Linked DNA regions of Schizosaccharomyces pombe. The protein of the gene in region 2 binds, or shares a complex with, the protein of the main gene of each other region. Each region holds a gene or a part of one and is shown on either strand. Other genes may lie near its edges. The genes, in order: cob and qcr7. A codon is read from its position in the direction of its gene.

Region 1 (6,023 bases), on a different chromosome or scaffold from region 2:
TTTTGTATCAAGTATTGGTTCAGTAATTTCTATTCTTTCATTATTCCTATTTATGTATGTTATGTATGATCAATTTACATCAAATAGAGTGGTTAAAACAAATCCTTATTTAATCCCTAGCTATTTTGATGATAATGTAATCTTCGTAAATGAAAAATTAGGGGTAGCTCAATCAATAGAATGGTTACTACATTCACCAGTACACGAACACGCATTTAATACATTACCTACAAAAAGTATTTAATTTAAAATCTTAACCCCCCTTTTATTTTATAAACTTTATTCCAATTTAAAAATTGGAGAGGGAGATTGAAGGATAATTTAGCTATCCTATTCAAAATTGTATCTTTATAATTTTTTTATTCCTTATATGTGAGAGAACACTATTGAGATAAACTAATTTAGCTTAAACATGAATCTTTCTACTAAATTTCAAGGACATCCTTATCATATTGTAAGTGCGTCACCTTGGCCATTTTTCTTATCTGTAGTATTATTCTTTAACTGTTTAGCAGCTACATTATATTTACATGGATACAAACATTCATCAGTATTCTTTGGAATCAGTTTCTTAGGTTTATTAGCAACTATGTATTTATGGTTTAGAGATATGTCAACTGAAGCTAATATTCATGGTGCACATACAAAAGCAGTAACAAAAGGATTAAAAATAGGATTTATGTTATTCCTAATTTCTGAAACTTTCTTATTTGCTTCTATTTTCTGGGCTTTCTTCCATAGTTCATTATCACCTACTTTTGAATTAGGTGCAGTATGGCCACCAGTAGGAATAGCAGATAAAACAATAGATCCATTAGAAGTCCCTCTATTAAATACAGTAATTTTATTAACTTCTGGTGCTAGTTTAACTTATGCTCATTATTCATTAATTGCTAGAAATAGAGAAAATGCTTTAAAAGGTTTATATATGACTATCGCTTTATCATTCTTATTCTTAGGAGGTCAAGCTTATGAATACTGGAATGCTCCATTCACTATTTCAGATTCTGTTTATGGTGCTAGTTTCTATTTTGCTACTGGTCTTCATGGTATTCATATTATTGTTGGTACAATTCTACTTCTTGTTGCTACTTATAATATTTATACTTACCACTTAACTAATACTCATCATAATGGATTTGAATGTGGTATTTATTATTGGCATTTCTGTGATGTTGTTTGGTTATTCCTTTATTTAACTATTTATATTTGGGGTAGCTAAGGCTTACTTCAATTTTTCCCCCCTTTTTATATCTTATTTCTCTAAAATAGTCTGTATAGCTCAATGGTAGAGCATCTCACTTCTAATGAGTCGATCTAAGTTCGATTCTTAGTACAGATTCCACACCTAGAAGGTGTGTATTTTTTTTTTAGCTAATTTAACTCAATTGGTAGAGTGCGTACCTTGTAAGTACGAAGTTAGAGGTTCAATTCCTCTAATTAGCAATCCCTTTCCCATATTTTTGGTATAAGAGGATCTCAGATAGTATCTAACCTATCTTATCTTTTATTATCCAATATCCTTTTAATAAGATTTGGATCTTTTTTCCCAATTCCTTCAAATTTTTGACTATTTATCGATAATGATTGTTCAATTTAGAAGGGATAATTTCAAATTTAATTTTTATGAAAATTTTAAAATCTAATCCTTTTTTAGCTTTGGCTAATAATTATATGATTGATGCTCCTGAACCTTCAAATATTTCATACTTCTGGAATTTTGGTTCTCTTTTAGCTTGTGTATTAGTTATTCAAATTGTAACTGGTATACTTTTAGCTTGTTTTTATATTCCTAATATGGATTTAGCTTTCCTTTCAGTTGAAAGAATTGTTAGAGATGTAAATTATGGTTTCTTATTAAGAGCTTTCCATGCAAATGGTGCTAGTTTCTTCTTTATCTTCTTATACTTACACATAGGTAGAGGTTTATATTATGGTTCTTATAAATATCCAAGAACAATGACATGGAATATTGGTGTTATTATCTTCTTATTAACTATTATTACTGCCTTTTTAGGTTACTGTTTACCAGCTAATCAAATGTCATTCTGGGGTGCAACTGTTATTACTAATTTATTATCAGCTGTTCCTTTCATTGGTGATGATTTAGTTCATCTATTATGGGGTGGATTTAGTGTATCTAATCCTACTTTAAATAGATTCTTCTCACTTCACTATTTAATGCCTTTTGTTATTGCTGCTTTATCAGTAATGCATTTAATTGCTCTACATACTAATGGTTCATCAAATCCATTAGGTGTAACAGCTAATATGGACAGAATCCCAATGAACCCGTATTATCTGATAAAATTGCGCCGTTGTGGTATATATGTGTACCCTCATAGAGAAAGGGATATCTTGTGTGTAAAGATATGAACAATACACTTAGGTAGCTGGGGAAACCCAATGCCGAACAGAGCATGTGTACAGAAGGTCCTTCCTGTAACGAAACAGATAAGTTCAGATGGATCAGTTCAAATAGATACGGTTAGAGCTGTATTGCCCGAATTCCAATTCCCATCTCACCCTCAGATAGGTGATTGTCTTAGCTGAATAGAGACATTCTTCTCTAGATCTTTGGTTGGCTTTTATGACCAAGGATACACACCAGGAGAAGAGAGTTGTACCAATAGTACAATTAAGGGAATGAGTGGAAAACCTACGTCTATCAACTCAAACATATATACAACTACGGGTCCCGCTAAGGTCAGTAATGACTATGCGGTCAGAGATCCTGGAGTAGCTGTTGATCATTTTGATCAATACGGTCCTTTGAAAGAGGGAAGAAGTTTGAACTCTGCAAAGATTTCAACACAGTGAAGTGGATCAGCTACATTAAAGTCTTCCAATAGATCAATATTTAATATTGGTTTAGGATACATTAATACTTTTTTAGGGGTATCTAATGTAAGAGGATTTAGTACAGGATCAGGACGATCAAAAAATGTACTAAATAAACTAGACGATTTATCTAAACGATCAAAAAATTATCCTAATCTTGTAATTGATAGAAATCTCTACAAAGATTTCCTATTAAATCGAGATATGTTCCTTATTGCTTATAATAAATTAAAATCTAATCCTGGTATGATGACTCCTGGTCTTAAACCGGATACTTTAGATGGAATGTCTATAGATGTTATTGATAAAATTATCCAAAGCCTTAAATCTGAAGAATTTAACTTCACTCCTGGTAGACGTATCTTAATTGATAAAGCCAGTGGTGGAAAAAGACCATTAACAATTGGTAGTCCTCGAGACAAATTAGTTCAAGAAATTCTTAGAATAGTCCTTGAGGCTATCTATGAACCATTATTTAATACTGCTTCTCATGGATTTAGACCAGGTCGAAGTTGTCATTCTGCTCTTAGATCTATTTTCACTAATTTTAAAGGTTGTACTTGGTGGATTGAAGGAGATATTAAAGCTTGTTTTGATTCTATCCCTCATGATAAATTAATTGCTCTATTATCTTCTAAAATTAAAGATCAACGATTTATTCAATTAATTCGTAAAGCTTTAAATGCTGGATATCTAACTGAAAATAGATATAAATACGATATTGTTGGAACTCCTCAAGGTTCTATAGTTAGTCCTATCTTAGCAAATATCTACCTTCATCAATTGGATGAATTTATTGAAAACCTAAAATCAGAATTTGATTACAAAGGTCCAATAGCTCGTAAAAGAACTTCTGAATCTAGACATCTTCATTATCTAATGGCAAAAGCCAAAAGAGAAAATGCTGATTCAAAAACAATTAGAAAAATAGCGATTGAAATGCGTAATGTTCCTAATAAGATACATGGTATTCAATCTAATAAACTAATGTATGTTCGATACGCTGATGATTGGATAGTTGCAGTTAATGGAAGTTATACTCAAACTAAAGAGATTTTAGCTAAAATTACCTGTTTCTGTTCATCAATTGGACTAACAGTATCTCCAACTAAGACTAAAATAACTAATTCATATACGGATAAAATACTTTTCCTTGGTACTAATATTAGCCATTCTAAAAATGTTACCTTTAGTAGACATTTTGGTATACTTCAAAGAAATTCTGGGTTTATTTTACTTTCTGCTCCTATGGATCGAATTGCAAAAAAACTTAGAGAAACTGGACTTATGCTTAATCATAAAGGTAGATCTGTTATTAGATGGTTACCTCTTGATGTACGACAAATTATTGGTTTAGCGAATTCTATTATTAGAGGTTACGATAATTATTATTCTTTTGTTCATAATAGAGGAAGATTTGCTACTTACGTTTACTTCATAATTAAAGACTGTGTTCTTCGAACATTAGCTCATAAATTATCATTAGGTACTAGAATGAAAGTAATTAAAAAATTTGGTCCTGACCTTTCTATCTATGATTACAACTCTAGAGATGAAAATAATAAACCAAAATTAATTACCCAATTATTTAAACCTTCTTGGAAAGTTAATGTTTGGGGATTTAAATCTGACAAAGTTAAATTGAACATTAGAACACTTTATGCTTCTCACTTATCAATGGCTAACTTAGAAAATCTACAGTGTGCTGCTTGTCAAAGTACTTATAAAGTGGAAATGCATCATGTTAGACAGATGAAAAATCTTAAACCAATCAAAGGTACTTTAGATTACTTAATGGCAAAAGCAAATAGAAAACAAATTCCATTATGTAGATCTTGTCACATGAAACTTCATGCTAATAAGTTAACTCTTAATGAGGATAAAAAAGTTTAGATATCTTAAATGTAGTGGAGAGCCGTATAATTACGAAAGTATCCCGTACGGTTCGGTGACGAGCCGTGTCAACCCTGCAAAGGGAATGCGTCTTAGTTCAATGATTTGATAACAATATTTATCTTCTTAATCGGTATAAATTATATGGCATTCTATAATCCATATGGATTTATGGAACCAGATTGTGCTTTACCAGCGGATCCTCTAAAAACTCCAATGTCTATTGTTCCAGAATGGTATTTATTACCTTTCTATGCTATTTTAAGAGCTATACCTAACTTCCAATTAGGAGTTATAGCAATGTTATTATCAATCTTAGTATTACTATTATTACCATTATTAGATTTCTCAGCTATTAGAGGTAATAGTTTTAACCCATTTGGTAAATTCTTCTTCTGGACATTTGTTGCCGATTTTGTAATTCTTGCATGGATTGGTGGATCACATCCAGAAAACGTCTTTATCACAATTGGTGCTATTGCTACAATCTTCTATTTTAGCTACTTCTTTATTTTAATACCAGTATATACTATATTAGGTAATACATTAATTGATTTAAATTTAAGCTCAATTAAACGATAATCTCTTCCCCCTTTACACTATATAAAAATATCTTATTTAAACAGTATAATATTTAATAAAAAGCTCATCAAAAGGTATGAATAAAAGTTTTTTACATAGATTAGGTAATAAAACATTCTTTGGGTGTTAGTAGTGATTAGAAGAAGTTGATCTTTTAGGGATTTATTTTTATCAGAATTTTTACGGTCAATTTTTATCTAATTAAATGTGAATAAGTTTGCGATTTAATGTAATTGGTTAACATCTCTGACTCATGATCAGTGTATTAAGGTTCAAGTCCTTAGGTCGCACTTTATGCTCTGATAACTTAACGGTTAAAGTGCAGTATTGAAGCTGCTGAGATATTGGTTCGATTCCATTTCAGAGCAAATAAAAGAATCTGTAGCTTAAAGTAAAGTATCGCCTTGTCACGGTGATGGATGCCCACTCGTACTGGGTCAGATTCGTTTAAGCAGATATAAGTCAATTGGCAGACCTTCTGATTTCCACTTAGATTATGTTCGTTCGAATCGGACTATCTGCATTAAATAAGCCTAAATGCTGGAATTTGGTAGACAGAACAAACTTAAGATTTGTCGCTTTCGAGCGTGTTGGTTCGAGTCCAACTTTAGGTATAACTAAAAAAAAAAAAGAGTATAGTTTAATTGGTAAAACTTCTGATTCCAAATTAGACATTGTTCGTTCAAGTCGGACTGCTCTTGATTTTT
Region 2 (3,870 bases):
AGCCACCAACCATATTGATGAGAAAGGTGATATCCTGGATTATCGACCTCCAACCCCAACTCAAGACAAGGGTGTTGGTCCTTTTTACGCGATACGGGATTTCCCAAGCAGTTCTTCCTTTCAGAGCCCCTTTTGTGAAAAATGTCAAATGAACCAACTGATTGTGAATCGGATGCTTGCTGATTATCTGCCAGACTCATCACATCCAGATTATCAGGCTTATGAGAAGGCATTACCAGAGTATAAAAAATCTATAGAAGAGAAATTTCCCATTGTTTGCTCTGAATGCTATGACTCCGTTCAAGACCAACTTGATGCCAATGATTATGAAGCCAAAAATCAGGTTTTAGGATATTGGCTGCAAAAGTCAAAGGAACAGCTAAACGCAAAAGTCCCCCATCACTATCCAAAAGCTTCTTTTGTTCTTTGGTTACTTCGTGGATTTGGTTTTTCGTTTTTCTATTTGCAATCGATTGTGTGGCATTTGTATCATTCTATGATAATAAGCTTATTACCAGATGGTATTCGTAATTTATTTCTAAAAGCAATCTCTTACTTCCTATTAGATGGATCCTCTAGCAAAATTTTTTACTTTAATTGGCTTGGTTTTTTCGTTGTCTTTTGGAACCCGTATTGGTACAAAATGATGGACAATCCATCTTGGGAGCTTTTTGGGCGGGATCAGTATATCCAATGTCAGGCACTTTATCTTATTATCCGTTTAACTTGCTTGTATCTCCTTTCATGTTATGAGTCGGAAATTTTGAACTTAAGCTCGGATACCAATCTTGAAAGTGATTTTTTACTCCGTCAAATACATGCAGCCTTTTTCTTTGTTACCATTTGTTTTACATGGATTAGCATCTCATGTTTAAAGCCAAGTCCTCCTCCAGAAGTTCATTTGACTGGCGAAATTTTGAAACCACGCAAGAAGCGTCAGGAAAGTACATCTTCTGTGCATCGGATAGGAAAGGAATCGAGTGACAGAAAAGATGGAATTAGTGGGCAGAATAAATTGCAGCAATTTGCGACAATTTCAATTCTGAATAATACCAACGCAACGTCTCATTTGGGAAATCAGTCTGTTCGTGAGAGAGCTCCGGAGGAATCCCCTATGACTTTTCTTCAAAAAAAAATGGCCGCCCTTCCAACATCTAGTCCTGTTCGACCGATGCTTAAACCTACTCTTCAGCTTCAAAATTCTCCTTTATCGAAACTGGTTCCTCAAGAAGTGGGCAACAAAGTAAACGATTCTATTCATACGACGTCTAATCAGCCAAGTAAATTTTCCCTGAACCCTTCCATATCTCTAAAAGGTGATAACGTGATAGAGAAGAATTTACCTTTTTCCGTGTCTACTTTAAAGTCCACTGCAAAGAAAGATACTGGTAAAGCAGGGGATGGTCAAAATCGCGAAATTCAAAATGAGCCAGTGAGCCTTGAAAGTCATTTTAGTAAGTCTTTAGCCCTTCAGAACGATCCAACAGAAGTTATTCAGGTGAAAAACGTTCTTCACCGGAATCGTCGAAATGCAAAGCTTCTCATTGCTTTCACAATTTTGTTCCTCGTTGGGTTAATTTGCGGATGGCGTTTGAATCGTTTTACTATGTTCATTTACTATTTATGCATATTGGTGTTAGCCACATATTATGTTATGAAACACAACTTTTATCCTTTAAGAAAGGTGGCTTGATCTGGTTACTATTTAAAGAAGTGGATGCAAAGTAATATGGAATATATTCTTTTGCAAACCAATCATTCATTAATTTATCCAATTTTGGAATAAATTTCGTTACTAATATTGCCAGAGGCGGTTATGTCGCTATCATTTGTTTAAAGTTTTTCAGCTCCTTTCTGGCAACTCGACATATTCGAGCTAGCGCATTCGCACAAATGGGATCCAATATAAATTTACTTTTTTTTTCCTATTAAAGCTATATAATTAAGTATTTTTCATACTAACGAGTTTTATTTGATAAATTTCATTCGTTTCAATAGGTTAGTACTGAAAGAGAACATGTAACCTGAGCAAACTTCTGGTTCATACGAATACTAGCAATGGTGCATTCCCGAATATATGTTAGACACGTCGTTAAATTAGTTTAGGTTATAAAATCGTTAGAGTTAAACAATAACTTAAGAGAAATGAGCCGAGAATACTAGGATATTCAGATTTTCATTACTTTCTAATTCCGCTCAGGATTCTATGTGCAGGTAACATCAGGTGACCGAAGGATTCATTGGCATACTATAGGGCCATGAGATCTTACCTTCTTCCAATATTCAAAACTAAGAGTTTTATTGATTTCAGTGCAAATTTTGTAGTGACGAAATTTTTTTTTGCTGAAGTGATTGTTTAAGTATGAAACCTGTGTCTCTTGCCAAGTATATTCAAAAATCACCATTTTTGACGAAATTGCTTTTACCCATCTCCAATGCCTATGTGCATTTGTCAGGATACCGTAAATATGGTCTTCGATACGACGATTTGATGTTGGAGGAGAATGACGATACTCAAAAGGCGTTATCTCGTTTGCCTAAGATGGAATCCTACGATCGAGTCTATCGTATTCGCCGTGCCATGCAACTTAGCATTGAGAATAAAATTTTGCCAAAATCTGAATGGACAAAGCCTGAGGAGGATTACCATTACCTCAGACCTGTTTTAGCTGAGGTTATCGCGGAGAGGAAAGAGCGTGAGGCCTTCGACGCTCTCATTGTTAAGAAACCCGAGACTCAAGCCCATGCAACATCTTCTCCTGCTCATGCTCATTAAAAGTTTGCATGTCCTCCTTTAATCCACTTATTCCTCTCATGAAAACCGACAAGAAAATTAAAAGAGTAGTAAACGGATGTGAGAATTTTATTTTCTAAGTAACCCCCAACTCCAATTTCTAAAAAGGAAGACAATTTATGCACGTATCTTATTTCATCGGTTATATCAGTCGACAAAGTACGTGGAAACGAAAGTTTTTATATTGCTGTTTATCTGTACTTTGACTTTACTATGTGTGCGATTAATTTTCTACGCCGCTCTGTTTTTGCTTTGCTCTATTTTAACTACTGGTATATCTCCCATCTCTTTGACCTCTCCTCTCTATGCTTTCAGTTTTCATATTTTAATTGAACAACGATTTTTTCTTATTTTTTATTTTTTGTAGCTGCTTTTTCCTTGACTGTTATCTTTGAAAGAGAAACAATTTTTTTGTTTCTTAGTTTCGCTTTCTGAAGATGATTTTGCAATTATTCTCTCGCTGAATCAATTATAGCTAATGGTTGGTATAACATAAGTTAGTGAACAAAACATTGTAAGGCAAACCAACTAATGTAGTATTTTTTTTAAATCGTGATATCAAATTTTAAACTTGTTAAACAGACAAACTTATTTTGAGAAATTTTATGACAGTTTGGCATTGTATTTATTGATTTAATTAAGCTTACTCCTATTTGACTTTAGGCATACTCTTCCTTGTACGACTTCAAGCTCATGAGCTTTTCACTATCTGAAATGTTGTACCCAGAGTCATAATATATGAACCTCCGATCGACGTAAAGTATTATTGAATTTAATTTTATTTATTTCCGCGTTTGTTTAACTTGTTTGAGGAACTTGAAAAATTACAAGAAAATCATGTACAATTTTGTTCGAAATATTTATTGAATATGCAGGGGAAAATCAATTATAAAGACATTACTCAGAAAGAAATGTTCAATGAAATATTTAAAGAATATGTTAAGGAAGAGAAGCAGATCGATTTGGGTACTTGTGATCAAGATTCTGTACACGACCTCTGGCGACGCTTTGTAAAAAGATGGAATGATGGAAAAATGAAAAGTAAATGGTATTCGTTGGGAAAGAGAATATCTCAA

The links.
Region 1: the proteins of qcr7 (region 2) and cob are in contact, whole or in part, in a cryo-EM structure (PDB 8Q1B), measured with the Schizosaccharomyces pombe proteins. Residues at the interface, in NP_588364.1 of Schizosaccharomyces pombe: Lys2 (codon at 2,366), Pro3 (codon at 2,369), Val4 (codon at 2,372), Ser5 (codon at 2,375), Leu6 (codon at 2,378), Ala7 (codon at 2,381), Ile10 (codon at 2,390), Gln11 (codon at 2,393), Thr17 (codon at 2,411), Leu20 (codon at 2,420), Leu21 (codon at 2,423), Ile23 (codon at 2,429), Ser24 (codon at 2,432), Asn25 (codon at 2,435), Tyr27 (codon at 2,441), Val28 (codon at 2,444), Leu30 (codon at 2,450), Ser31 (codon at 2,453), Gly32 (codon at 2,456), Tyr33 (codon at 2,459), Arg34 (codon at 2,462), Tyr36 (codon at 2,468), Tyr40 (codon at 2,480), Asp42 (codon at 2,486), Leu43 (codon at 2,489), Met44 (codon at 2,492), Leu45 (codon at 2,495), Glu46 (codon at 2,498), Glu47 (codon at 2,501), Asn48 (codon at 2,504); in YP_011104932.1 of Schizosaccharomyces pombe: Ser24 (codon at 1,696), Asn25 (codon at 1,699), Lys107 (codon at 1,945), Tyr108 (codon at 1,948), Pro109 (codon at 1,951), Leu210 (codon at 2,254), Val212 (codon at 2,260), Thr213 (codon at 2,263), Ala214 (codon at 2,266), Met216 (codon at 2,272), Asp217 (codon at 2,275), Phe310 (codon at 5,080), Ala312 (codon at 5,086), Ile313 (codon at 5,089), Arg314 (codon at 5,092), Ser317 (codon at 5,101), Phe318 (codon at 5,104), Asn319 (codon at 5,107), Pro320 (codon at 5,110), Phe321 (codon at 5,113), Ile372 (codon at 5,266), Gly374 (codon at 5,272), Asn375 (codon at 5,275), Thr376 (codon at 5,278), Leu377 (codon at 5,281), Ile378 (codon at 5,284), Asp379 (codon at 5,287), Leu380 (codon at 5,290), Asn381 (codon at 5,293), Leu382 (codon at 5,296).

The regions. Positions count from the first base shown.
Region 1 is NC_088682.1:8,549-14,571, forward strand, and holds cob (apocytochrome b), read left to right. Parts: upstream 1-1,626; coding exon 1,627-2,310; coding exon of another isoform or gene 2,311-4,734; intron 4,735-4,836; coding exon 4,837-5,316; downstream 5,317-6,023. Other genes in the region: cox1 (cytochrome oxidase subunit 1), read left to right, coding at 1-244; cox3 (cytochrome oxidase subunit 3), read left to right, coding at 413-1,222.
Region 2 is NC_003421.2:1,886,448-1,890,317, reverse strand, and holds qcr7 (ubiquinol-cytochrome-c reductase complex subunit 6), read left to right. Parts: upstream 1-2,268; 5' UTR 2,269-2,362; coding exon 2,363-2,776; 3' UTR 2,777-3,323; downstream 3,324-3,870. Other genes in the region: inner nuclear membrane protein Ima1, read left to right, coding at 1-1,693; SPOM_SPCC297.06C (uncharacterized protein), read left to right, coding at 3,664-3,870.